Linked DNA regions of Mus musculus: all the other regions are reported to be linked to region 1. Evidence: microRNA targets listed by miRTarBase, many of them from high-throughput screens and not tested one by one. Region 1 holds a microRNA gene; each other region holds the end of a gene's coding sequence.
The links. The annotated mature microRNA mmu-let-7b-5p reads UGAGGUAGUAGGUUGUGUGGUU and lies in region 1 at 3,848-3,869, shown strand. An mRNA with a match to its seed (bases 2 to 7 or 8) in the 3' UTR can be bound and repressed. Matches are read on the target gene's strand: a 7mer-m8 pairs with bases 2 to 8, a 7mer-A1 pairs with bases 2 to 7 and ends in A, and an 8mer does both.

Region 1 (7,121 bases):
CAGTGGGAAGGATCCGAGAAAGGGTGTCAGCGTGACAGATAGCTCGGCTGTCTTGGGAGCCCATGCGAGGCTGGTAGTCAGGGAGGGGGCTTTCCCACCCTGTGTGTCCTCACCAGACCCTCAGTAGCCAATGGGCTCATCTTCCCATCCTTGAGTCGTGGTTGGGGGAGGGGGGTGTTAACAAGGCCTGCAACAAAGCACTCCGGCTTGACGGACAGAAGTGGGCAGATCCTTGTCTCCATATTCTGTACCCCAGGCTCAGCTCCAGAGCCCTTCAGCTGGCCAGGCTTCTCCCTCACTGTCCCCATGTCCCTGCTTGGCCTTCCTTCTGTCTTACTAATGGCTCTGCCATGATGATTTGGGCCCGAGGGAGGTAGGATAGTGACTTGATTCATGGTGTGAGTCTGTAGTCCAGTGAGCCCTTTCTCTGGGTCTCTGCTCTTTGGGAGAGTTCAAGCCCCATTTGCCCTATGTCCTAGGGAAGTTGCACGCGGGCCACTGGCCACCCACAAAAACACGCTTGCCCACCATGGGTGAAGTTGGAGCATAGTCTCTGACCCACATGCCCAGCACAGGGCTGAGCTTAGAGGCCGTTCCATCCAAGGCTTTGCATGCAAAGTGTCACCAGGCAAAAGGCAGACTGGATGAAAATGCCATTGTGCTATAGGATCTTAAGGAGTGGCCAGGGGAGGCCACCAGGGGCCAGGCTTTCTCCCTTCTGAAGTTGATGATCATTGCTTTTGTTTCTAACCCCCAAGGTGGTCAGGAAGTGGAACCAAGCAGGAAGTTCTGCATGCCTATGGCTTCCCTGTGGTAAGTAGGGCCCCAATGTCCTTCCTCTGGAAAGTAGGGAGACTTGAGAGTAAGGAAGGCTAGGGTCAGAGGCACATCCCTGCCAGTGCTCCAGGACCTGCCCTCAGCTTAGATGTCTTTACCTAGAGGCTTTGTGCTCCCCCCAACCCCTGCCCTCAGTATTGTGCCCCACCCCACCCCCCAGCAATCTACCCCAGATGACACATCTACCCATGATATGATATGGTGACTTTTGACCCCGTATCGGCCTACTTAGACTGGGCATGGCTTAACAGAGGTGCAGTTCCATTCATCACCAGCTCCAAGTGGAAGAGACGTAGCCTCCCAACCTGAGGACAAGGTCACCGAGCCCTGAGAGACCTCTGGGGACCTCAGCATGAGGTCCCTCTCTTTTCTCTGTACCCCGGGCACCATCACTTAATCCCCCCAGTGTGATCCTGCTTCCCCCAGGCCAGGCCACTTGGTATCAATGGAGGATCTGCCAGAAGGTCTTGCCTAGAGAAAGGCCAGATGAGGGAGACAGAGGCACATCTGTTCCCGTGTTGGGCTAAGGCACAGTGCGTGGTGGCCCACTGTCCTTGCTAGAACTAGGGTGCTTGTGTCCTGGTGTTTCTCTACCATAGCTTGGGCTCTGCAAGGCTTCTGTTGCAATGAAGCCCAGATTCAGGGAGGCTCACCAAGTGCAGAAAAGGCGCTTTGGGGCTGACACAGTGGCATACACCGGCCTCCTGCTGCTAAGTAGAGTGGCTGAGAATCCCCAGGGGCCAGCCAAAAGGACCCCACGGAAATGCATGATGGTGCCCAGAGTCAGAGGGGCCAGTCTCGACCTTCCAGCCAGACCTGCCCACGTACTTGTATCCTGACAGCCAAGGGCAGAACCCGAAGTGTTGAGAGACCTGGGGTTGATGTCTGACCTCTTTCCTCCTTCAAAGTGCTTCTGGGGGCGGAGAGGGGGAGGGAGGTGCTGGGCTCAGATGGAGATGACCAATGTGGTCTCTAGCTATTCCACCACATCCGGGCACAGCCTAAGAACCGACGAGATTAACCATGGCCAGTCAAGCCTACAGAGAGGCTAAGCAGTGTGGGACACCCCTCAGCCTTCTCACCTGGGCCACCCATCATAGATAGGATCACCAAAGGGGCCCTTCACCACTCTCTTCCCACGCCTCTTCTGCCTTGCTGCCTCTGCAGGGACCATCCTTGAGGGTATTTGACCTGCCTGTTAGTGAAAGGGTCCAGGCTTGAGGCAGGGGATGGCACCCCAGTGGCTCAGATTTCCTTCTGGGGCTTGGAAGATTAGTGTTTCCTATCATCACAGGCCTGCCCACCACGGGCCAGGCCACACCAGCGCTCTGGGAACCTTGTTCCTAAGCTCCTCTGCCCCATAGACTCCGGATCTGGGGCCACAATGTGGACTTAGACCTAACGGCTTCATTTTGACCCAGGAGTTTTGGACTTGTCCCTTGACCCTTGGCAGAGAGGAAAGGAGGCGTGACAGTAGACGCTAGGGCTCATGCAGAGAGCAAAAGCTGCCTGGCTTCCTAGGTCTGGGCACAGGGCTTCCCTCCACATGCTGGGCAAACCGGTCTGAGGCCTGAAAGAAGCAGGTCTTTTTCCCTTCTGAGAGCAGAGCTACCTGAGACCAGAGACTGAGCCTCAGTTTCTTCAGCGATCTCTGCTGGCCTCTGGAAGTGCTAGTCGTTAGGGACAGACTGGCCATGAGTGTCCAGCCAGGGTCTGCACTTGCGCCCGGCTGGCCACCATGGGGAGTTAGGCTGCCTCCCACAAGGAAAGACTGTTTTGAGCCTCCCCCAGCAAGGTCAGCTCAGGCCACCCTGAGAAGAGGGAGGGACAGAACCAGAGCCCACGAGGGGGGGGCTCTTCCTGCCTAAGGGGAAGAGGGTACATGCCCAAGGCTACTACTTAGCAGGAGTCCTGGTGATTCTACTACGCTAGAGTTGAGTGGACAGAGGCTGGGTCTCAGCCAGGTGGACACTGGAAGCACCCTGGACCTTGGTGGCCTTTAACAAATGACACCCTTCCCCCATTGTGGCCATTCCTGTGCTCAGTGCCCCGTGCTTTCTCTCTCTTCTCCCCGTTTCCCCGTCTCCCCGTCTCCCCTTACTCTCTCTGTGATTTTGTTTAAATGTCCCTGGCCCATTTTGAGAAAATCCCAGTCTATTAATACCCTCAGCACTGAGCGGCCTGTGTCGGGGGTGGGGGGTGGGGCTCACCATGTCCCCAGCTCTCCTTCTTCCTCTAGGAGGGACCTCAAGAAGCCACAACATCCAGCTCTACGCCAAGACTGACTGACGGCCTTTGGGGTGAGGTAGTAGGTTGTATGGTTTTGGGCTCTGCCCCGCTCTGCGGTAACTATACAATCTACTGTCTTTCCTGAAGTGGCCGCAATATCTGCAGTGGATACAACGGCGGCCCTGGCTGGGGAGACTGAGGGAGGGACAGGGGGGTGATAACTACCATGCAAAAAGAGCCTGACAGAGACCTTGGATAGTCCCTTGACCTCTCTGGGCTGTTACTCATCTGTATAAGGGTTGGGGCATAGCGATGAAAACAGACAGCATTTTCAGGGCACCTTCTCTCCCTGGCCCACACTGAAGGGGCCTTCCTGCCCCTGGCCCCATATCAGACCTGTGCTCACAGGTCTCCATGAAAAGAGGGTCTGGACTAGACCTTCAACTATGTTCCAGAGTTGCCCAGGCTTTCCAGCGCAGGGTCAGGCCTCTGACGAGCAAGCGTCTCTTCCGAGAAGAAATTGAAAAGGAGCCATTCTTAGCACACCCATGAGTACAGCCTGCAGATGGACCGTGTAGGCCACTGTCCCCTGTCCCTGGGGCAATGGGTTCAGACACCAGAGGCTTCCTCAATCTGTTTGGTAGGCACAGGCCTTTCTCACTGAACCTCTGTCTCCACTTCCCCCTCCCCCACCCCGCCCTGTGCCCTATGGCTCTAGTGGCCTGTGGCCAGGGTGGGTGGGGAGCGGCTGGGCCTCCTCCAGAACACGGACACCGCAGGGTGAGGTAGTAGGTTGTGTGGTTTCAGGGCAGTGATGTTGCCCCTCCGAAGATAACTATACAACCTACTGCCTTCCCTGAGGCGCCCAGGGACACAGCTACATGGAGGCCCCCGCTCAGCAAGCTAAATGGAGCCACAGATTGGGTGGGGGCTATGACGTGGGACCTGGGTATAAATAAAGGATGTTCTGTCATGAACTTACAACTGGTCTTTGGTCATTTTGGAAATACGGAGACTGGCCGTAGAGGACATGAGATCGCCAACCACACATTGACACGTTTGCATGCATGAAACATTGCCAGCAAGAGCTGCTCTGGGTAGTGAACAGTACCCTCCCCTCATCTTCCATGTGCCCCTTAGTGGCCCAAGCCCTGGACACCCAAGCCCCTCCACATGAGTGGAACAACAGACCCTATGACTCCAAGTCTCAGAGCACAGTACTGGCTTCCAGTGTCCCTCAGCCTGTGGTCCTAACCAGATCTGAGAAATTCCTGGCCTATTGTCCCTTCGTGCCTGCCTCCCTTGGGACAGTATTGGGACGGCTGTGGATGTAGCTTTCTAATCTTGGGCCAAATGGTCATATACCCTTCTTCCAGGGACCCCAAGCCTTCATTCAGGTGGTGGTAGTGGGGTGAGGGTCAGCCCTCAGCTAGTGTTAGCTTAGGAAGGTAAAGTCCTAGTCTTACCTGACCAGACACCAAAGGCCTCCCTCGTGGGTGGATACCTTGACCCTGATGTCCTGGCCTTCTCCCCATAATGAATCCCCCGAGTCCCAGCTCCCGTCCTGAACCCAATCTGCCTCAACTCTGCATATCCACACACCTCCATTGACGCACCTAGGCAGACCAAACACCCCTAGAGCCCCTCTATATCCACCCTCAGCTACCAGACCTCTCAAACTTAGCCAGCCATTTCCAAAGATCTGATACTGTGCTAGCCCCAGGGTTGAGAGTACCCAGAGGGACTCTCTGAGTACTCTCTGAGAGCAACAGGGATGGCTTCCCAAAGTAGGGGCTATCTGAGCTGGGTCTTGATGGCTGTATAGGAGTTGGCAGCTAGAGACACAGGAGTGGACACTCAGACACTCCGTGGCATGCCCCATTGTCTCCTCCCTGCTGTCCTTTGGAACATCGATGGTGGATGATAAATTGTCACCTTTTTACCTCTCTTTATCCTGTAGTCAGTGGTGAAGTCTGTTGACTCTTGCTATGCCTCCAGCCCTAGAGGAGTAGTCCTTCCTCCCCTCCCTTGTGCAGAGCTTTGCCCACTCTTCATCCCTTGCTGAATTAGTTAAGGTTTTACTGCTGTGAGCAGATGCCATGACCAAGGCAACTCCTATAAGGACAACATTTAATTGGGGCTGGCTTACAGGTTCAGAGGCTCAGTCCATTATCATCATGGCAGAAGAATACCATGACATAGGAAGAGCTGAGAGTTCTACATCTTGTTCCGAAGGCAAACAGGAGAAGACTGGCTTCCAGGGAGCTAGAGTGAGGGTCTTAAAACCCATATCCACAATGACATACTTCCCCTAACAAGGCCACACCTCCTAATAGTGCCACTCCCTGGACCAAGCATATACAAACCATCACACAGCCTACCTTCCATACTCTTCTGCACAGCCCAGCCCCCAACCCTTCACCCTCACACAGGCCCACCCTCTGGCTACCACAGCCAGCTGTGTCTGTGCAAGCAGAATGACATGCTGGCCAGTCACACCCACCTCCTGGCTCCTATGCTGCAGTGGGAGATGGCCTCTGCTCTGCAGAGTTCAAGTACTAGGGACACAGGACAGGACACACGGCGACCACCCAGTGGGGTAGCGTGGGAGCATCCGAGAGCTCTGAGGTGCTCTGCAGTCAGGGTAGCTTCCTGGAAGATGACCTCTGACATGTCCTGTGCCCCTCTCTACATTCTGTTGGCTCTTCTCTGACAACTGACTGTCACTAGAGATAGGGGTGCATGTGGGGATCAGGGTGGGTACGACACAGCATTCAGCAGAGTGGAAGTTCTGGGGTGCAGGGGAGTGGTTCAGCCCAGGGAGACCCTGTGCTCACTTCCCCACTTCCACAACCTACAAAGGAAGCAAAACACTTCCACTTAGAGGGTGGAGTCAGGATTCAAGGGCACCCCAGATTGTGCCTCAGGGAAAGTACCCAGGAAGGTCCTGGTCCCTGGCCGGCCTTCTGCTGCCACCTGCTGGCTAATCTAAGAAGTGACTCCTGGGGTTGTTAATCAGGAGCCAAGGAGATGCTGCAGGCTGGAGGTCCTAGGATACAACCCTCCGGGCAGGCTGGGACTGTTATCACGATGTGCATAAGTGTCTTTGAGGACAAGGTAGTTCAAGACCAGCGAGGAGAGCAGGCTGGACCTTGGGTGGCCCCAACACATGGAAACTGGGCTCCACACATCAGCTGGAAACCCAGGCAGCATGCAGAAGCCTCGCTGAGTCTTACAGAAGCAAGACTTGCACATCCTTGCCCCACCCGGGATGATTCTCCAGAGATAGAGGGTCTCCTGGGGGTGACATCCGTAGCAGTGGCAGAGCCAGCAGTAGCTGGCAGGAGGGCGGAGGTGGGGGTCTCAGGAGTCACAGAACTATATCCAGCAGCTTGAAGCTGAGACCCACGAGGATGTCAGTGCCCCTAAACAGCCTTACTTCCTTTAAAAATAAAGAAAATTGAACACAAATATCAGATATGTAATATATAATGAATGCTACATATAGTATGATGATCAGTATTAATACATACTATGTTTCATAGAGTGAACCCAGGCACACGTTCACTGCTTCCTAAGAGGAAGATACCCAATCCTGTGCAGAGTGACCCAGCAGGAGTCCCTGTGAGGTTGTACACATCTGCCTACACCACTCCTGACAGACACATACCAGGGGGGATTTGTGGTGTGTGTGTGTGTGTGTGTGTGTGTGTGTGTGTGTGTGTGTGTGTGTGTGTGCAGAAGGCTGTAGAAAAGCCAAGCTTAGGCCCAGGGGAATATTTCTGGAGGCAGCTCTGGGAAGGCAGCCCTGTTTCAGTCAGGCTCCTGACCCATCCACCGCCTCCACTGGGTGGTGTGCTTCCCAGCAGCGACACCGTGTGGCAGCAGGAGACCATAGCAACCAAACTGATCACACGCCCCGCCCAACCTCTGCTCCACTCAGGTGGTGATGGGGGCGGGAGGGGGGGGCGGGTGGCGGGGCTCTTCTGGCCTCTGCCATCCTTGGGTTCAAGGATAAGTCAGGGAAGGCCTATGTGGAGGCCAAGCTGCAGTTC
Region 2 (7,121 bases), not on the chromosome of region 1:
GACGGACTTAAAACTTTCCCCCATTGTTTTAATATTATTTTCTTGTGCTTATATAAATGAATTTCCATAAGTATCATATTCTGATGCACTATTTTTAAAACCTAAATGGTAATATTAATATACACATTTGCATAGTCTTTTATAGTTAAAAGAAGTGTAACACATCACTTGAATTGGTTCATTTTTATAGTCTATAAGCATGTTTCCTCCCCCCACCCCACCCCCAAAAAAAACCCCAAACACTATGTCAAAGGGTAGAAAACCAATGCTTTGAAAGCCTATGACATAGCCTGAAATTCACCTTTGATTTCTTGTCCAGTTAGAGCCATGCAGAAGTTTTTATGTTCTTTTCTGGTACCCATCCTACTTGTCCATGATATTATGATCCTTTTGATCACAGAGTGAGCCCCTTCTTGCTGAAGAAGGAGAGAAAAAGGAGGACGAAGAAATACAAGGTGCCACAGCTCACTGCCCCCTCTCCACTCAACTGTCAGACCCGGATGACTTCACTGGCCTTGAAACATCCAGCCTCCTACAGCATGGAGACACTGTCCTTCATATCAGTGAGGAGAACGGCACGGAGAATCCCCTGCTGTCCAGCCAGTTCACTTTCACTCCTCCCGAGCTGGGAGACACAGACTCAGCACTAGATGAGTCCCACGTTTAGTTCTGTATCACAGGAGCTCTGCACTCTACAGAAGACTGCTGACGATAGAATGCTTCTGATGAAAATTATTAATTCTAAAACAGCACTTTATAGCCTGTGGGTGGCATTAAGTCTGAGTGTATTTTGCTGCCAAAACTCCTAATGTTTCAAAAACATCTTAAAAATCAATAGCTAAAAGTCTTTAGTTGTGTGAAGACTGTAACAGGGAAGAACAAAGGGAAGAGCCGTCTCACTGCACACTGTGTATAGCTTGCTTTGAGCAGCTAAGAATATACTACTACAGACAGTTAAGAATATTTAATATTACTGCCCTCATAATACTGATAAGTTCTAAAAGGGAATACAGTCTCTTAAGATACTCACATTATACATCTCACAACAATGTTTATTTTTGTAGTTTCAAAATTTTACATTAGGTGGCTATATACATAGAAATTTACATATAAACAACCAGCAAGAAAAATAATTAGAAACTAAACTATAAACCCTGCAGCCATTTTTGTTTGGGTCAATAATATAGCTGGTTATTTAAAAAAAAAACGTACTATTTTTAGAGCCGTGGACTTTTCAAAATTTATTTTTTAACTGTCCTTTCACTACATCCTATAAATCAAAATTCTAATGCCACATATCATTCCATTTCATATCTACTGTATTAGACAGAGAATATCTAGAATCTCAGATATGATTCTGAATTAATAACATAGACAGCTATACAATTATGAAAAAGCTAAATGTAAATAGCTTTGCTTGAAAGAGATGGCATTCCTAATTCTACCCATGATGACATCACCGTTCGGATTAGGACCTATTGGGAAAGAGGATTGCTTTCCCTTGCTGTCCTTGTGCCTGCCCCTGAGGGCGTATTTTCATACATTAAAGTTAAATTGTTAGAACTAGATCAGAAATTAACTTTTTCTCAGTTGTCAAATATTCTATGATCCTTAGGAGATCACAGTTAATGAAGGAAAGTCAGAGTAATCAATTTCTTTATAGACTCAGACAGCTTGTATATATTACAAATAGGGCTTTAACTTAAAGTGCAGTTACTTCAAAAAAAAAAAGAATAAAATTTGAAAGGCTTGTCAGGCCAGTACTTAGTCGATTATTGAAGGGCTGGACATCATGCAGTTCATAAACATTTTTCAAAAGTTTAGCAGTTTACATTAGAGAAATGTAACTACTAAACCCTGAAAAAAATCTCATAACATACCTACATCGATGTGTGTGTGTGTGTGTGTGTTAGTCTTCATGTAGAAGTTAAACAGAGATTTTGATTATGTTGAGATGAGTTTAAAATATATTCTATATGCTTAAATATTGACTATGTTGGCTATAAAATGTATACTATAAAGAAAATACCTATAAACCCATACAAATAATAAAGGAAACGATTTTTATGTTAGAATTATTTATTAAATGAGCACAGTGACTTATAAAATCAAATATATTTTGGGGCTATGATCCCATTCACCATGAGAATGAAAGGTAACCTATAAGTTAACTAGGATAAAATTTAAAATCCCCCAGGTCAGAAAATCAGGGCAGAACCACCTTCTTGGCCTTTTGGCTGAGAACATGCATGGGAAATCCAGGAGACAAACAAACCTTCTCTGTGTTATAACACCTTCACATCATTTATACTTAATGTGCAGTTCATTTCTAAGTGCAAAAGTGGACATGTAAGTGGTTTTCTGGTTCTAAGCTGATATATTTTGCCTGTTAAAAACTATGCTGCTCAACTAGCATTAGAGGCCTTATGTTTGGTAATTACAAGTGTCTGAGTTGTGTGCGTTTATATGTCTGTGCTTTGTTCCCTCTTTTGGACTTGTGATTCAAAATCTCTATAATTGTGTCAGATATTTAAGAAGTATAGAGGTCAAAGAATTGTTAAATACTCAATAATAACCCTAAATACCTTTATATATTTTAAGTGTGTTGGGCTGTTTGAGAAATGATTTTATTGGTCTGTCTGCCTTTTAATCTGACTCCTTCACTCTCGTGTATGGAAGTCTATTATTAACTTTTTCAGTAAGCTAAGTAATGTTTTATCTTGGAAAAAAGAAAAGACATGACCACTCTGAGAAATGGGGACTTACAGAGTGGGAGTGCTCTCGTCTTGGGACTTTTGAGATTTCTCATCTATTCCATTTATTGTGTCCTTAAACGTGTTGAATGTTTATGTGTGGTAACTAAAGTATATGTATGTGCATAAGACTGTCACAAGATGTATTCTCAGGAATACTGTTACCTGGAGTTTGAAGGAATAACTTAAAGAAAACAGTTAAGATAAAAGTTCAAGTTAATTGACAATCTTTTGTAATATTCAAAAATGTGACAAGAACTAATTATCACTTTTGATCAATATATTAGTAAAATTAGATTATATCTTAATCTGTGATGCTTAATAATATTTATCTCATTCAGAGGAAGGATAAAACAGGCACCCACTTTCCAGGTATTAAACAATTACATCCAATTAAAATTGCTCCTTTGGAAAGCAACTTTATAGAGAAACCTTGAGAAATAAAAATACATCATCCATGATAGTGAGTACCCATGTGTACTATCCAGATTAAAGCAGCTTAAATCCTGGATGCAGAATTTTCTAGAATAGACATTTTTCTTTCATTCGCAGCATTCAGTGTTTTCTATAATTCTATTAGATTATTTGATTCTTATGACAAGGGAAGTGAGTTACTGAGTGCGTTGGAACAAGTCACTGAGAACAACACTGTCAAGGGGTACCACTGGGCACATGGCAGTGCTGGAGGCATCTGTTGGTTTTCTGCTTCAAGCCTCCAAGAGTAACTTAAGCCAGGATGGCATCTCTCTTTTAGCATCTGTTCTTTTAGTCAGTGAAGAACTTTCTCCACTTTGCTGCCCACTCCTAGAGTTTCCGAGGAAATAATTGAGTGTGTACTGAGATCCATAGGGAAGAAAAGGTCATAAATGAATAGAATTATAGTCCAAAACATGAACTAAGTACCTTCCTTGAGTTACACAGGATACTTTACCAGAGAACTTTCCCGAATTTGCTGCTGTCACATAGAGTCCCACTTTCACTCTGTGACCTCACACTACCAATCCATGGCCTTGTGTCTCAGCAGTGAGTAAACTAGCCCACTTCCTCATTTATTTTTGTGGGTCTCAACTGCAGCATTTTAGAAGCAAACTTTGATCTGACACTCAGGAGAATAAACACAAATAGAGGGCAGAATGTATTTGGAAAAGTTTATGATAAATTTACTTATATTATTTAAAGATCATTTAGGATCATAAATCTACGTACCTCCATGATATTTTTAATAGTCACTGTGACCATGGGATTAAAGTCCTTTATTAGCCATTTTGTAGGTGAAGACAAAGGATTGACTACACAGCCAACTTCCTTCAGATGACTATAAAGTCTGTTATGAATACTGAATGACCAAAGAGCATGGAAAATGCATCTGAATAAATACTGAGATGTTTATGAAAGATATTTATGAAAGCTAATGATTTCTGTGTTTGAATATGCACATATAATAAAATAAATCTAAGATCATTTAATGTGCTCTAATTTCACTTCTTTCCATTGGGAATGGGATAGCTCATTCAGGATCATTTTTCAAGACCTGGTCTGTGCCTTCCTTCATCTCTTGTTCTTCAGACTTCCACTCTAAAGTGGAAGCCTAAAGCCATTTTTAGCTTAAAGTCACTAATGGGTAAACACCCCCAGTCCCTCTACCGCCATATTTGATACCTACCTACTTCTGTTTCTCATCTTCTATCTTTCAAAATAAAGCAAAATGTAGATATGGAAGACAGCAAGCCAAATTGACTTCACTGCCCGGATTATGACCCGGAATGCTGGTATATCCCCAAGTCAGAATATTAAAGACTATTGTCTTCTAACTGTGTCCCCTGCAGAAACCATGGCATCTAAATTACCAGCATGCTTTTAATAAAACTATGAGAGCCCTATCCTTGTTCTTTAGGAATTGCTCTTGTTCTATCCACGTGTATCTTCATGTACCTTTTCATTTTTTCCTGGCCCAGACTCTGGATACGTTTGACATTACGCCACTTATCCATTTCAAGAATTATGGCTGGATAGCAACTCTATCAGACTGGCTATGAAAGACCCACAACGTGAGGACTCCCCCACGTTCTGACTCAGGAGAGGCGACACCCCAAATCACACAAGAAACGGTCTTACTGCAAACTTATTCAAGAGGGCTCTCGGGCCCACGGTCATACACCACGCAGGGGTAGAGGTCTGTGGCACACCGATTAGCTGGGTAAGGAGGTATTTAAAGGAAGAAACCACAACTCAAGGAAGTGGGGAGGGCTTTGTTGGAAAATACCAAAGATACCAGTTAAGAGTCCCAAGGAAGTGCAAAGTCACAAGAGTCACAAGGAATACCTGGTAATTGTTCCAGTTATCTCTCAAGACAGTTTCTAAGAGCCCCTAACAATAGCACATTTGCATAGCAATGGTCAGGGTGACTTTCTTTGAATGAACACTCTTTGAACCCAGGAAGCGGGTGGGTGGAGGAATGTCGCTATCTGTTTTATGATTAGCATCATTAAGTCACAGAGGTCACATTCCCATGCCTGGGCCTAAAGGCCTAGAATTTTGTTTTTACGTTATACTTTCAGCTACTGCAAAAATTCCTACACTGAGTACTCAGCAGTCACCAGTTATCAGCAGCTTGACTAAGGAACATCTCAGAAGAGAGGACTGTAAGAGACAGAGGGTGGGGGAAGTTCAACGGAATGCTGCAATTAATGATTGCATAAGCAACTGTGGCTCCCTGCACAAAACCTACAGACACGTGAGGTGAAGTTATTTAAGTAGGAGAGGAGTTAATTGGGAAGAAGGGGTCAGGAGGAGTGGCTGGGGTAAGAAAGGGTAATGGGGTTGAATATGATCACAATATATGCTATACGTGTATGAAACAGAGAAAAAAATAAAAACAAATTTCCTACATTGTAGGTGGTAGTCTAGCTGATCAACCCGTAGAACTTCTTACATTGTACTCAATAAACTATTTTCCCTTTCAAAAGGAAAAGAAGCCAGAAGATCCTTGGAAATCCAAGACAGAAGGCAGAAGCTCTGCACCTGGCTCCGCCCCTAGCCAGCCAGCTGACGCCCCCCCCCCAGGAGGAGGCGGGACTTCCTCGCCGCAGGGCAGCTGCTTCCGGCAGAGTCCGGAAGAGAGTGCGAGGTGGGAGGGGGCGGAGCCAGTGCGGCGCGCCCAATCGGGACGGAGTCTTGGCTGGCCCGGGCTCTCGTGGGCTCACTCGCTCTAGGGAACCGGCACCATGGCGTCGGGCTGCAAGATCGGCCCGTCCATCCTCAACAGCGACCTGGCCAACCTGGGGGCCGAGTGCCTGCGCATGCTGGACTCGGGGGCCGACTACCTGCACCTGGATGTAATGGACGGGTAACTCCGCGGGGCTCGGGGCGGGCTGGCCGCGCGGGTCGGCGTCGCTGCACCTCAGCGAGCGCCTGTTGGGTGCACGGCGCCCCTGTGCGACGACGGGCTGCCTGGCCAAGCGCGCTGCCGAGGGCACCGAGCCGGCCCTGGCTGACTTTGGGGCCCGGTCCTTTCCCCGCCACCCCGTAACCTGTGGTGATAGGACCCGGGAGCCACCTCCAGTGTTCAGGATCTTCCTCTGGTGAACTCGTAGAGAAACTGAGGCCCAACGGGACAGGCGCGACTTGCTCGATCGAACTCAGATAACTAACTAGTTCTCGACAAAGCCGGCAGACAGCCTCAGCTTGACACCTGGATGGGCTTCCGGAGTTCGACCACTTGCCGACTTGTCTTAGGCAAGCCGCTTCAGCCTTGATTGGGACTCGGGTTCAGTGTGAGGAAAATGGAAGGATTATTGATCATAGAACGCTTCCGCGTCTTGGGGAACTTGAAACGAGCAAGTCCAGTGCCTGGCGTGTAACAGATTCTCTGCAGTTGTTAGTTGTATCGAATAACCCATTCGAATTCTGATTTTCCTGTCTATTTTCTCTTCAGGCACCCTGCTCTTCAGGGAGGTCAGTTTTTTTGTAAGTAATTTTTAAGCACTGTAGTTATAATGCTCAGAATCAGGGTACAAGTTTCCTAAGTTGGTTCTAAAGTGAGGAAACAAACCTAGACCCAAAGGAGGCTGGAGGACTTGCTCAAGATTACAGAAGATTGTGACAGACTTGGAACTTGAATCTTCTTGGCTTTTTGACTAGCATTTCCCACCGAAAGTTTACATAAAATTATAAAAGACCTTGGGAGTGAGATAGAAAAATAAATTTATTTCAAATAAGCAAAATCTGTTTGCCCTCAGTCACATTGGCAAATATGTGTTATTTACATCAGTTTCGTTTCTTGTTGGAGGTTTTGCTGTTCTTTCTGGTTTTTTTGAGACAAGGTCTGTATAAATCTTAACTGGCCTCAAACTCAAAATCTTGCCTCAG
Region 3 (7,121 bases), not on the chromosome of region 1:
TGCCTTTAGGGGTATGATTATTGCTTTTAGAGCTACCTTCTATTTGGGCCTTCGTACTTTCCTTTCTACCCTTCAAGAAAATGTCCTGGAGTGGGGCTGCTGAAAAGGTGGCTCAGCAGTTTTCAGAGGACTGGGGTTCAAGTCACAGCACCCACATGGCAGCTCACAACTGTCTGTAATTCCAGTTTCATGGGATCTGTTGTAGAAATTATTTAATCCCTACTGTTTTACCCAGGGTTTCTACCCCACCTTAGATTAGTTCTCAGATTAAAAACACACATGATCTTTATATTTACAGTAAGCCTTAAACAATACAAGAGCTTGGCAGATACTACTCTCTATGTTGTTAGAATTTATTTTCCTATGGATAACCCCAAGTTATTACTTACTATGTTTCATTTGGGTTGCTCTTAACTCCAATTGGGCAGCTCTCAGGGCCCTTGACTCCAGCTCATGGTGGCTTCTCCTTCCTCCTCTATTTTCTTACACAGATATACATGCAGGCAAAACACCAATGTCCTGGAGGAGCTGTAATTTATCCTCTGGTGGTCTGGGTGGCAAGGCTGGGGTATGAGATGCTTGCTTGGGAATGTTAATAATCAGGCAAGGAACAGAATGTGGAATAGTGAGAAGGGCTCAGAGCAATTATAGACAAAGAAAGGATCTAAGGCCACTGAGACCTATTCCTGCCTTAGGTAACAACATGCTGCTGGTGGGCGTGCATGGCCCAAGGACACCCTGTGAAGAGATCCTGGTGAAACACATGGGCAGCCGCCTCTATAGTGTCTCTTACCTGCTCAAGGACAAAGGGGAGTACACACTGGTGGTCAAGTGGGGTGATGAGCATATCCCAGGCAGCCCATACCGCATTATGGTACCCTGAGCCTGCCACCTAAGTTGGCACCTGTGCCAGCTAGAAGCTCCCATGGCAATGAGCATCCCCACACCTGTCCTATTCCCAAGAAGCCCCATTTTCCTTTCCTGAGCCCTGGACCCTCCCTTCCCTGGATCACTCTGGCCGCTCTTCACTGCATTCGCCCTTGCCCTGCACTGTGTTCACCTGTCTCTGGGCTTTCACTTGGGCAGAGGGAGCCATTTGGTGGCAGAGCATGTCTTCTTTGGTTCTGGGAGGTGGAAGTCCTATGTACAACCACCTTCTAGTTCTCTTTCCCAGCCAAGAGGAATAAAATTTTGCTTCCGTTGTCCTGTGAATGTAGCTTTCATGGAAGGAGTAATGGAAGGCCAAACTAGCAAGGGCACCAACAAGGCAAAAAACATAGGCCATGGGACCTCTGAGTAGCACAGTTTGTACTTGATCTTTTGCTTCACAGAGGGGGATATACGGTGTGCCTAGAATGGCATATGGGATCAAGCAGTCAAAATGTAGGGCATGAAGATTCGTTGCTAGCTTGTTGGTGATCCCTAATAGTGAACAGTCTTTGAAATAGCATCAGGGCATAGCCATTTCTTACATATCATGAACATGATACCAGCGCTTTTATTTATTTTAGGTTTTTTTTTTCCAGACAGGGTCTCATTATGTAGCCTTGAATAGACTGGAACTCATTGGGTAGGTCAAGCTGGCCTCAAACTCACAGAGGTGGTCTCTGCCTCCCAAGTGCTGGGATTAAAGGGTGAACCACCATGCCTGGCTTGCTATGAACCCTTTAAATAAGACACCATTACAAATTCCCCTTCCCACAACAGGGTAGATATCTTGTCTATCAGTGAAGGGGGTGGTGGTACCCACTCTTGAGGTAAGCACACTACTCTGGTCCTAGGTATTCTTAATGGACCTATCTCTATCTTTAAATGGGACTTGTCATTGCGCCTCCTTGCTATAAGTAAGTACAGTGGATCAATAACTCCTTTCTGCACCATTAGGTCCTTTAGAGGCAAAATTAATGTCCTAAGGCCCAGCTCCCAATGAAACCTGCAAATGGCTAGGATATCTCCTTGAAACTGATCAAGCCATAGGCATGTCTCTTAGGTTCAGTGCCATGACTTAACTCATCTGTAGGTGAGGGCCAGGAAGGGTCATAATCTTCTCTCAGCTCCTAGTACTTGATTACTTGCCATGGCCTATGCTGAAATTCTGCCAGGTAAGACTTCAAAGGACTTTGCCAAAGCTTAGGCATTTAAGAACACAAGGGAGAAAGGACTGTATTACTGAGCTAATAGTTCAGTCCCATGACTCTGGAAGATTCTGCAACCTGCAACACTGGTACCAGGTAGAAACAGATATACATTGGATCTTCACTTTGTGAATCTGCCAGTCACATAAGGAAGACACTGGCGAGGAGACCGGCAGAGGCAACTAGATAAAAGTCCTTCCCTTAGTCCATTGGTATTATTGTTGTTCAACAGCCAGGATAGAGAGGAGGGGCCAACACTCTGGGAGCCTTCAGAAGCTGCCCACCTGCACAGGGGACAAAAGGTAGCAAAGGCAAGTCCAAAGAGGCACAGCTCTAACAGAGGAGGAATGAGACAGCTTCCCCTTCTACATAGCTAGGATTCTGCACCCTGGACACCCATGCCCTGAAATCACCCAGAGCCTCTTACCCAGTCCTGGCACCAGTTCTGCCTACACAGGCTCCCCTTCACATCCTCTTCTCAAGCCAATGCCTGGCAAAGTTACTCAGGGGAGTCACTGTCCAAGGCTGAGTTGGGTTAAGCAGGGGTCCCTGTCTCCTTGCCTCTAAATCCTATACAGGGTGCTAAGACACCTGGGCTGTAGGGGTGGTGGTGAGCAGAAGACGTCTGACTGCGGATGGGACAGGCTTCTGAGTATACCCGGTCAGAGGCTCCAGGCAGTGAACTGGAAGATATATGGCCAGGGAGGCAAAAGGAAAAGAGATGGGTGCCCCATACTGGTCAGGAGCCAGGCATATGACACCCACAAGTATGCCTACCATCCCAAATGGGTCCTTTAAAAAGAATGAGCTATTTTATGTGTATAAGTATCTGCCTGCATATGTCTGTGCACCACATCCATGCCTGGTGCCTACAGAAGCCTGAATGGGGCATTGGCTCTCCTGGGTCTGGGTTGTGAGCCACCATAATATGGATGCTGGGTATCAATCAATTCTGGGTCTTGTGGAAGAGAAGCAAGTGCTCTCAAACACTGAGCCATCTCTCTAGCCCCACTTATTCCATTCTGGAAAAGACCCAGCCATACAGGAAATACAGGAGGTTTTGGAGGCTACCAGGAAGAAGCAGGCCAGGTGCATCTTTGTGACCTCCTCAGCTGACTGCCCAGCCAGGCCACATGGCCTAGAATCTGCAGTGGGGTGGAAATGTGCAACCACAAGTGATGCTATGCCCTGGCTCTGTTGGCCAACAGGCACCAGAAGCCTAGGTCACAGAAGTCAAGGTCACGTGGCTAAATGCCCTCCATAGCCTGTCCTCCCACCCAGTGAGACCAAGAAGGGAAATGGGTTTGTTAACTCCAGCTGGAAGCAGGGCCCAGAGACTGCAAGTTCAGGCCGGACTCAGGGCAGGGCAAAGCAGGGGTTGAGGTGTACTTCTTTGGGCTACTTTATTAGGTTTTTATATTTACCACCCTTCCAGCCCCCCAGTACTAGATGGGAGAGAAAGAGGGTTAGAGGGGAAAGAGGGCATAGACATCTTCAGACTACTTCCTGCTGATTATGAGTGTCAGGCTCCTTGGGGCAAGCCAATGCTAGCTATGTAGAAGGGGAAGCTGTCTCATTAGGGTATCTCCAACCAGCAATCCAGCAATCCATAGCAGCAGCCATAGCCATAGATAGCCATAGCAATAGAAAAAGCAGCAGCAGCAGCAGCAGCAGCAGCAGCAGCAGCAGCAGCAGCAGCAGCAGCAGCAGCACGGGGAGCGCGGCAGCCACCACAACCTGCTTGGGGCTCTTGCACTTATACCCTCTCAAGAGTCTTCAGAGTCCCAAGCATATACTATATATACTATCTTCAAAAATCATGCCCCTCCTAGAGCACAAGACAATTCTAGTTAGTAGCTGTGGGCAATTCTAAGCAGCCCCCTATCCTATACCTGGGATTAAAGCAAAACCATATCGGTTGATATCCGCAAAGGGGATAACATTTGAAGTGTAAATAAATAAAATATCCAATAAAAACAAAACCAAACCATATTCGCATAACATAACTGGGGTTTTAAAGAAATGAAAATTCTCACTACAAGGGGGCAGGCCCAGCTGACCATTTCTCCTCCCTTAGTCAGCCTGACAGCCCAGCACTCTGCTCAAAACCCCACCCACTCCCATAAGGAAAGGGGGACAATGCCTTCAGCAGAGCTCCCTGAAGCAGTGGGGTCACAGCGTTTAAACCCTACCAGGAACTGACCAGTAGCCCCTTGGGCTTCTAGAGGGCTGGCCCAGGCCAAGGCTGGGAATAGAACAGAGGGGATAAGCAGCAGGTGATTTGGGAAATAGCCCATAGAGGCCACAGACATCTGGGGGTGGGGGTAAGGGCTATAGAAGTCAGTGGAGGAACAAATGTCCAGGTACATGCCTGGCAACTGGGGCCTGAAGGAGAGGAAAGAAGACTCAGCTGGGTGGCAGGAGGGGAATCAACCAGGGTCCCAAGACTGGAAGGTGAAGGAAGAGGACACCAGTTTGAGTCATGGTGCCTGCTAAGGATTACCAGAGACAAGGCAGTGTAGGCCAGTGTCCTCCATGGTTGCCTCCTGGTCCTCCCAAATAGAGCCAGTATGTTCTTTCTCCACAACACCCAGATCAGAGCAGATCCCCAGGCCCAGCTGACATAGTGAGAAAATAACTCTTTTGGGGACCTTCAGGGCCTAATTACCTCTCAGAATGAGTTTTGTGGGGAAAGAGAATCAGCAGACCTGCATCTACAAGGTTGCCAGTGCCTTGGCCCTTGAGAAAGGTTTCGCCAGGGAAGGAATTAACACCTCCCAAAAGGTTAAGAACACCGCCTGCGACTCAGAAGGCATTGCCAAACGTGACCGACCCCGCCCTGCTTTTACCTCGGAGGCTGAGCTCTACAAAGGAATTTCTCCACTTTTCTCTGAGGCTGACTAGCTCCACCAATAAGAAACCAAGTCCGCCACGGAAGTCCTGCCACCCTCCCACGACGGATGCCTTTTCTGCCCAATTAACTGTCCCATTGCTTGTCCTGGCCACTGCTGTCTTCGTATCGGGAGGTTTTAGTCCTCAGATGTGGCTTTCTGCACTTCTGAATGTTGGGAACAAAGAAAAGGAACTTATTCAAGTACTACCATTTCATTTTCAGATTCCATTTAATCATAGGGAGAAACTAAACTCAAGGTCCCAGGCCCTATGAGAGCTAGGAACTTCCCAATAGTTGAACAACTTCTCTTGTAAGAAAACAGTTATCTGAGTCCAGACATCTCAAGGACGACTTCTCTATCTTGCTGTCAGAACCATACTAAATTCATGTTCTTAGGCCAAGGAACCAACTACTATCCTGATTGATGGAAACTCTCTTGTTCAACCCTTATGTCAAAATATTACTGAACAATGCCACCCCTCACCACACCCACTCTTAATGGTTTCATCTTTAAAATAGGCCATGCAACGTTCAGCTCCCAAGTCTGGTGTTTGAGTTATGTTGCATTTAAATAGACCCCATAACATGAGGCTTCAGTATATTCCATCCATTCCCTCTCCCCTCTTTTTAGTGCTGGGATGCTTGCAAGAATGCTGCTTATATCCCCTGCTAATAACAAAACAATCCAGATGGTGGTGGTGCACACCTTTAATACCAGCACTAAGAAAGCAGAGTCAAGCAGATATGCCAAGGTTACACAGAGAAACCCTGTCTCGAAAAACAAAACAAAACACCCAACTCCCAAACAACAACAACCCGCTCAATCCTCCTTTTACCGCCTGCATTCTTAGATGTCATTTACTTCAGGAAGGTCTCACACTTGTGTTCCTTTGCCTCAGCCACTCACATAGCTATGATTACATGTACAAACCACAGATTTACTGGAAGTTGCCCAGAGGCATCCAAGAGGCCTGTGGCTCTTTCTGGCATTGGCTTCACTCTGGGCTGGGCTTCTTGGCTGACCTCAGTGTGGCTATCAGACTCTAAGGACTGGGGATGTACTCAATCAGTGTTAGAGTACTGGCCTAGTATTAACAGTGTCTTGGTTGAAAAACCAAGACCAAAACCAAAAACGGTGTCTTGGGTTCCATACCCAGCTGTTAAAAATAACAGCTCCTTGAACTCTTAAATGTTTGTGCTTGTGTTGTGCCTACAAAGTATCTAAGTGCTTGTGTTGGGCCTACTTACCACATGGGTCTTTTTCACTACCCCAGCTAGGACATAGGCCTCCTTAGCTGAAGGATCCCTCCTGTTGACTCTAGACTATCATCAACAACTATAGTCCTATAGACTCTGCCTCTTCCTGACAACCCATGTCAATGTGTGTAAACTACTTCCTGTTCAGGGTTTTGAGTTTAGTCACTGGAAGAGTGTTGCCATCAGTGTACCCATGTAGCCTACAACCCTCAACAGGAGTCTTGTTTTTGTTCAATTTGATGCTTTCAAGAGACCACTGTTGCTTTTATCAATAATTTTCCCTTTCGATGCTGTACAATAATTCACATTTGGGTGAACCACAGTTTGAGCAGTTAAAGGGCCAGAGTTTTGTTTTTCAATTTTTTTGGAGACAAGATATCAACTATCCAAGTCTGGTCTGGAACTCACTATAGAGTTGAATATGGTCGTGAACATCTGACCCTTCTTCATCCACTTCTGGAGTGCTGGAATTATAGGCATTTGCCCTGCCACCATGCCCAATTTATGCAGGGCCAGGGATTGAGCTCAGGGTTTCATGCATGTTAGGCAAGTACTCTATTAACTAAAACTACATCCTTAAACCTTCATTTCAACTTTTTTTTTTTTTCGAGACAGGGTTTCTCTGTGTAGCCCTGGCTGTCCTGGAACTTACTCTGTAGACCAGGCTGGCTTCGAACTCAGAAATCCACCTGTCTCTGCCTCTCGAGTGCTGGGATTAAAGGTGTGCGCCACCATGCCCGGTTCATTTCAACTTTTAAACTACACAAGAATTCAGGGTTAAACATTCACCTATATGTTTTTGCAGAGTCATAGTTCCATTTCTTCCTTATAGTGGT
Region 4 (7,121 bases), not on the chromosome of region 1:
CAGAAATTCACCTGCCTCTGCCTCCCGAGTGCTGGGATTAAAGGCGTGCGTCACCACGCCCAGCGACTCGGATCTAGTTTAACAGTGAAGTGTACTTTATTTAAATGTTGAACACAGTCATAGCCTTTTTGTTTCCTATTGAAACATATTACTCCCTTAGTAACGTTAGTTTCCATGGTCTTCTGATTGATTAAACTGACATTACTTTTAGCTTCTTATGAGTTGTTTGTAGGAATTCTAGTTTTCAAATTTGTTTTTCTTATGGCTATATAATGCTTTCTCATGATGCAAAATAAACTAGCAGAATGCTATTGAATATATTTACAACTATGTGTTATTTTGTTTTTTGAAATTATAGATTATTATTTTTGTTGTTAACTTGAAAAACAGCAACTCAATTTTTAAATACCTTGTCTATCTAGTAAAACCAAAAAGTTTTAACAAGCATTTATTTTAACAATTAACCAAAGTAGATTAACAAAATTATCGCATGTTTTAGAAGTATTTGATAAGTTTTCAAGGGGACAGTTTATATGCCATAAAAGCTCTTACCTATTTGAAACTTTGTAGCAGTATTACCCTTATCATGTCCTGGACAGAATGATGGATGGCATTCTGCCTTAAGTGGAGATAAATTCTAGTTATGAAGACATGACTCAGGAAGACCTGTATAGAATATAACTCGGAGCACAGTTGATGCCTGGGGGGTCTGGGAATTATAAATACCATGATACTTACTGAGGATTCTTTGTTTATCATCATAGCAGGGACAACAAATACCACACTGACTCCAACCTCCCAGCCTGAGCGGAAGTCGACCTTTGATGCAGCCAGCTTCATTGGAGGGATCGTCCTTGTCTTGGGTGTGCAGGCTGTAATTTTCTTTCTCTATAAGTTCTGCAAATCTAAAGAACGAAATTACCATACTCTGTAAACAGACCTGTTAAATTAATGTGGACTGGCAGTTAACTTGTGCAACTCACTGAAACCAAAATATTGAAGAAGTCCCACATGGAAGACGCTGTTCCAGGATCTTTACCTTTCCAAAGGATGCATACAGGATATTTTGGAGCATCATCCTCGAAGAAAAGTCAGTTAAACCATTTAGTTCATCAGGAATATTTAAAATATTCTGCATGAATCCGTGTGGCTGTCGTCTTTGTTTACCATGGCTGCTGCTGTGGGACTGTTTTTTCCTCTGACATGCCAAATGTAACTTCTGTAAGTGGTGGAGAGTGCTGTCCTGTGTAGGCAGCTTCTGACTGCAGTTGAAATGTAGTCCCCTAGAATCCTAAAGGCTGTTATTCTCATCCTAGTTCCAGGTGTAACTTGGTGGCCAGAATTGAGAAGAGTGCCAAATGACCACCCGTCAGGCAGATTGAGGGCCATCACTTCAAACATAGATTAAATTTGTTTAGCACTAAACTATCCCTAGAGTAAATTTTTATGCTTGACAAGTTGTATTTTATATATTAGAAATAAGATGCCACACAGGGCAATCCAGATTTAGATTAAAGAAAGGATACACAGACATTAATCTGCAACAGGTCTTGTTCATACTCATAAAGTGTACCGTATTAAGAAATCAGAACAGTGCCTTAAGACAGACTGAGACGTCGTGAAAAATGTGTTCACACTGTGGGAGGCAAAGCTTGGTCTGAGAATGTAACTGTTGATGTGAGCAGCAGAAATCTGCTTATAGATAACATACTGTTAATATTTAATTAAAAGCATTGTTTTTTCTAGAGCTGAGAAATAGAAGCTAAAGAATAATTAGAGCTGAAAGGCTTCCTTATATCAAACCATCTAACATTTTTCTTAGGGCTGTTAAACTAGACATAAAATTGATTTATCTTTCTCTCTGTACACAAAGTATCCAAATATTATACCTTAAGGATTCCTACCAGGTTTTCTTGAAAAGTGGCTTTTACATGAGGCAAGAAGGAAGTAGTTGTAGATAGAATCATTTTCTAGTTCTTTAAATGAGACAATCACTTTGTTTTCTAATAGATGTGACCTGTGTAACTTAAAAAATCTGAGGGTTTGAGAGAGGTTGCTCTAGATTTCCAATGACGATACCCTGGCTGAATAGGCTTTTCTCTTCCTTGGGCCTTTACTTCTTTTCTTCCTCCTTGGTTTCAGTTCCCATGTGCTATCATTATAATCATGCAGACTTTTACTTCAGTTGCTTCTGAAAGCACTAAGTTTTCAGTTTTGGAGTTACTTCTCCCTTGCCTCTGACACACTGCACACGTCTAGAGGCTGTAATTGGAAATAGGCTTTTGGTTTCCTGTGCCATTCAAGTTTGGGGCTTTCATTTGGTTACAGAGTTCAGCGCTTGGTTCCCAGGGTTTATATACGAAACAGCGGATTGCTGTGGGCTGGTTCATAAAGTGAAACTAATGAATCTATCTCTTTGTCACTTGCTGGTACAGCTAGTTTGTTTCACTTGCACATTTGTACATATATCTAATGTTTTCAAGTGCCTTACTTGTTTAAACTCTGACTTCAAAGGTTTTTGGGGAAAGATAGGTTTACCTCACAGTTATGTTTCCATTGTAATTTCTAGGTTCCTCACAAAAATCTATTTCAGTGCTGTAGCTGTTAGTTTTAAGTGAGTGCTAAAGTTCTTTTAAAAGTACACAGAATTTCCATTCCTTATAAAGGTGGCAAAATTGGTTTGTCATTTACCTCCATGTGACTCCTTGCCCCATATAAATGTCAGCATATGTAGCAAGTTTTCTAAGAATGTAACTTAATTTGAAGCTCCTGAAATTTTGAGCACTGCTCTAACATTGTAGGAAGTTAGTGACATTTTGCAAGTCTCTACAAAAGCTCTTGCCACAGAATTCACTGCTGCCCTGACTCTTCACCATCTTTCTTTAGCAAGGTATTTTGAGCCATTAATGATTTTGGGTTTTTTAATCCAGAAGGTATATAAAAGCCTTTTCAGAGTTTTCATCTGATTTGTCCTGAGGATCTAGTTCTATCAAATACCTTATTTTACCTTTGCCATACTTGCTGCACAAGCAGACACTGCTGGACTTAGAAGTTTCTATTTGAGTTCCTTAAACTACAAAACTAATATGTATGTGTACCAAACTGATTTAAAATAAATGTTTATTAGTCTCTTGATCAAAAGTGTCATATTTTGATTATGAAATTAACATTGTGTTTGCCTTACCTGTCCATTTGAGGCTGGGTTGTCCATTGTTTCTTTTGTTCCTGTAGACTGGTATATAGATGGGAACTAATGGCTGTGAATTAGTGGAGAACAGAACCATGGGAATGATTGATGGTTGGGCTGATGGAAGGGGCATGCGTCTAGCTCACATTAACCAAGAGAGAGTGAGTGAGAGAGTGTGTCACAGGACTACTTTTGTGGAGCCTGTTGTTCTTTCAACTTTGTGGGTCCCAAGGATTGAACACAGGTTGTTGGACAAGTACCCTTTTCCACTGAGCCATCTTGCCAGCTACATCCTACCCTTTAGTTCTGAGTACATAGGGAGTAAAACTTTGCTTCTGATTAGCGTGTCATGTGCTGCTGTGGAGTCTGGTTCTGTTGGACCGTGTGCAGGAACATCTATATTTGATTACTTGAGTTACACTAAAGTTGTTCACTGCTCCCCTGCAAGTCTGGATGAAAGGTTGGATTCACTGCTTTGCCTCTTGTTCCCTGTTAGCCTTATCATTTGGCAATTACATAAAACTTTATAGCAAGCTTCCTAAGACATTGACATAGGTTATTGAGTAAATAGTAGAGGGTGGGATAGGTTTTGTGTGTTCTCCCCATTCTGTGTACTTGCTGTAGGTAGCCCTTGGGTACTTGTTTTTCAAAGGGTATGTATTGGCACTTTCTAATTCACTAGTGTTTGGTTTTTTGTTAGTGTGTCTGTTGGTAAATCCAGCTTTTGTATATCTTGCCTCCTGACTTCAATTGTATTTTGTTTTCAGTGCAAAAACCATTGTATTCATGATACATCATTGGTAGTAAATCACTTTTTTTTAAAAGAATTTTGAATGTGGAATCTAAGGTTTTTTGTTTGTTTGTTTATTTTTTGTCATACATATCTATAAACTTTAGCCCATTGTTTCAGTTGTGTTCTATAACAAGTCTGTTAGCATCTCTGGTTCTGTACGTGTTTTCTTCTGTTACTGATTTTAAGCAAATTGACTATTATGGGCTGTGTTGTAGTTTTCCTTGTTTTTTGGGTTTTTTGTTTTGTTTGTGTTTGTTTATAGATCTATTAAGGTGTTGTATCTCTGACTTTCATATTTGGAAGATTTCCAACTTTCAGTGGTAGGTCTACACCCTCTGCCTTGATGGAGATTATAGTTTTATAGAGATTGCTAGAAATTGATTCATAGTCCCATTGGGGCTTTATATGAAATTAATTAAAATTCCCCCCTTTGAATTCTATCGTGTTTTCTGGTATGTCTGTAGTTGATGTAATATGTTGGTGTGTTTCTCTACATAGTTGTTTTGTAGTTGTGTGTGAATGCTTGGTTTTATTATAGTAATTTTTAATGTCTCCATAGCATTGCTATTCCAACATTTAGCATTTACTTTCCATTGAATTTTTTACCCACACTATAGGATGGTTTGGATGCATGCTTGGTAAATTCTTACTGGATGACAGATACAAGTTTGGGAGGTACAGGTTGGTCTTGTATTCCTGTTCTTACTGCTTTTCTGAAGCGTGTTAAGTGTCGCTTCAGCTTCTGGTCTATTGCAATGGGAACTTCAGCAGCTTCCTGCATCTCTTGATTGTCTCCTCTGCCTCTTGAATTCTGCAAGTACTCTGATTTCTGTCTGGGCTCCCCAGCAATTAAGGACAGGGGGCTGGATCTTGTTTTGCCTATTACCTCATATATTAAATGTTGTTGCAGGTCATCTAAAGGGAATACAAGTTTATTCTAGAGCCATTTTGAGTGACCATGGCTGGGAAACAACAGATTTAGGTTACCCCAAATTCCATGGTCCAACATGGAAGCTGTTTGAGAATTTTTGCAGAATAAAGAAACTGGTACTGAAGGCAAGTTTAAAATGCAGTATGGTGGGTATATTAGAACAGTGGTTACAGTGAGATGGGGACGCTTTTGTATAGGTCCAAGATGCTATTTGATGACGTTCTTAGTTTGTAGATGCCAAAAGGTTTTTACTAGTCACGGGGATGTTCTAACACAGCATGGAATGGCTGTTACAGGTGTAGAGCTAGCCCAACATGGGTAGGTAGCTTCTGACCCTGCAGCAGCCTTCTCCACAGTCCCCAGTCCTCTACAGATGGAGCTGCTTCCAGGAACTCACTGAGACTCGTGAGTTGGTTCCTTAGGAGCTTCCCTGTAGCACAGTGGTTCCCTAGTTCAACCCTTCATACAGTTCCTGACACCCAACCATAATAAAATGTTATTGCTACTTTATAAATATAGTTGTGCTACTGTTAGGGATCATAATGCAAATATCTCATTGGCAGGGTATCTGATACGTGACTCCTGTGAAAGGGTCATTTGACTCCCAAAGGGGTTGCAACCCATAGGTTGAGAACTGCTGCTCTAGGATGAAACAAGTTGGAACTTCTTGTGTCTTAGGGAGGCTCATTCTACCAATGGGGTGTTTTAACTCAGGAAATGGCTGTATAATGGAGTCTTGTCCTACTTAAACTGTCAACTTGACACAGCCTAGAGTCACCTGAGAAGGGAGTCTCAATTGAGAGAATGTCTAAATTGATATAGAAGGTCCCAGTCCACTATGGGCAGCACCATTCTCTGGGCAGATGGCCCTGGCTATATAAGAAAGCTAAGTAATCATGAACCTGAGAACAAGCCAGCAAGCAATATTCTTCCATGGCTTATGCATCAGGTTCATGCCTTTATTTTTTCTTAATGATGGGACATGACCTGGAAGTTGTAAGTCAAATCCTCTCTCCCAAATTGCCTTTTTGAATTTAATCTCAGTAACAGGAAAATAGAGCAGGTCTCTGCTGCAACTTAATCTTCTTTACAGTTTCACACAGTGGCTTCTCAGTCTCTTTGCTGGTAATCTGGCCTTCACATGCATTGCCTGGCCTCCATGGCTTCCTTGGACGTTGGATGGGCCTTCATGACCATAGAACTTGCATTTTGCTTGTCTGCAAAACCAGTGCTATGTAGAGAGTGCTACTAAGTTCTGCTCTAGCTTGAGATCGAGTCTGTCCCCTTTCTACCACAGCTCAAACCTCAATCTAAGTTACCTTCCAGCAGGGAACTCCTTTAGCAGCATTCTCACATCAAGTTCTCTCCCTTCAGATGAATTTGCATTTTCACAAAGTAGAGTCATCATGGGAGAGGGGGGGGTGTGTGTGTCTTGCTTTCAGAGCTCCATTCCTGTTGTCCCAGTTCAGAACATGAGATTTCTCTTGCAGCACTAATCTCTTAAGGGCATTATAGCTGCTCTCTTTGTACCAAACTTGTTTGCGTCTTTAATTTGGTCACATACCTTTTCTTGACAAACTATATTTTTTTTATATTCTGCTCATTCTCACTGTAGAAAGAGTAGTAAGCAGGAGTCATTTGACAGCCTAGGTGTTAAGGTGTTTTGAAATTCCCACTGCTAAACAGCTTGTAGTGGTTTGAATGAGAGTGGCCCTCATAGACTCACTCATACATGTTTGGTTCCCAGTTGGTGATTAGGAGGTGTGGCCTTGTTGAAGGAGGTAGGCTTTGAGATTTCAAAGGCCTACATTAGGCCAAGGCCTTTTCTCTTTCTCTGACTGTTGGTTGTGGATCAGATGTAAGCCCTCAGCTACTGCTCCAGCACCGTACCTGCTTGCCTGCTGCCATGCTCCCGCCAACATGATGATAATAGACTCCCCCTCTGAAACTGTAAGCAATATCCCAGTTAAGTGCTTGCTTTTATAAGCTGCCTCGGTCATGGTGTCTCTTCACAGCAAACAGATCAAGAACTAGGATAACTTACTTCATTACCTTTTAACTCAGCCTCATTCTTCAGTTCTTCAGCAGCCAGATTCTCTGCCAGAATGGTAACATGAATGACTTCTAGCTCAGTTGCCAGTAGAGTCCTTATTACCCTCTGAAACCTCGTGAGCCCAGGCATTACTGTAGTCATTTGCAGTGGCATTCTG

Region 2: miRTarBase lists Unc80 as a target of mmu-let-7b-5p. The part of its 3' UTR that is shown has no 7-base or 8-base seed match.
Region 3: the mRNA of Flna is a reported target of mmu-let-7b-5p. The part of its 3' UTR that is shown has no 7-base or 8-base seed match.
Region 4: miRTarBase lists Cd164 as a target of mmu-let-7b-5p. Seed matches in the 3' UTR shown: 7mer-A1 at 2,536-2,542.

Annotation. Positions count from the first base shown.
Region 1 is chr15:85,703,478-85,710,598 of GRCm38, forward strand. It overlaps Mirlet7b (microRNA let7b), which reads left to right and starts at 3,842; the gene lies at 3,842-3,926. Lncppara (long noncoding RNA near Ppara) reads left to right here and starts at 296. Exons shown (of 2, transcript NR_110483.1): 1 at 296-813; 2 at 3,077-4,047. Mirlet7c-2 (microRNA let7c-2) reads left to right here and starts at 3,126; the gene lies at 3,126-3,220. Gm34622 (a long non-coding RNA gene) reads right to left here. Exons shown (of 3, transcript XR_384306.3): 3 at 5,394-6,508.
Region 2 is chr1:66,694,930-66,702,050 of GRCm38, forward strand. Unc80 (unc-80, NALCN activator) reads left to right here. Exons shown (of 65, transcript NM_001368824.1): 65 at 401-4,221. The coding sequence ends at 667. It overlaps Rpe (ribulose-5-phosphate-3-epimerase), which reads left to right and starts at 5,902. Exons shown (of 6, transcript NM_025683.3): 1 at 5,902-6,099. The coding sequence starts at 5,978.
Region 3 is chrX:74,217,552-74,224,672 of GRCm38, reverse strand. It overlaps Flna (filamin, alpha), which reads left to right. Exons shown (of 46, transcript NM_010227.3): 46 at 696-1,212. The coding sequence ends at 883. Among named protein-coding and RNA genes, the nearest start is that of Flna, 25 kb to the left of the region's middle.
Region 4 is chr10:41,527,908-41,535,028 of GRCm38, forward strand. Cd164 (CD164 antigen) reads left to right here. Exons shown (of 6, transcript NM_016898.2): 6 at 765-3,135. The coding sequence ends at 934. Among named protein-coding and RNA genes, the nearest start is that of Cd164, 12 kb to the left of the region's middle.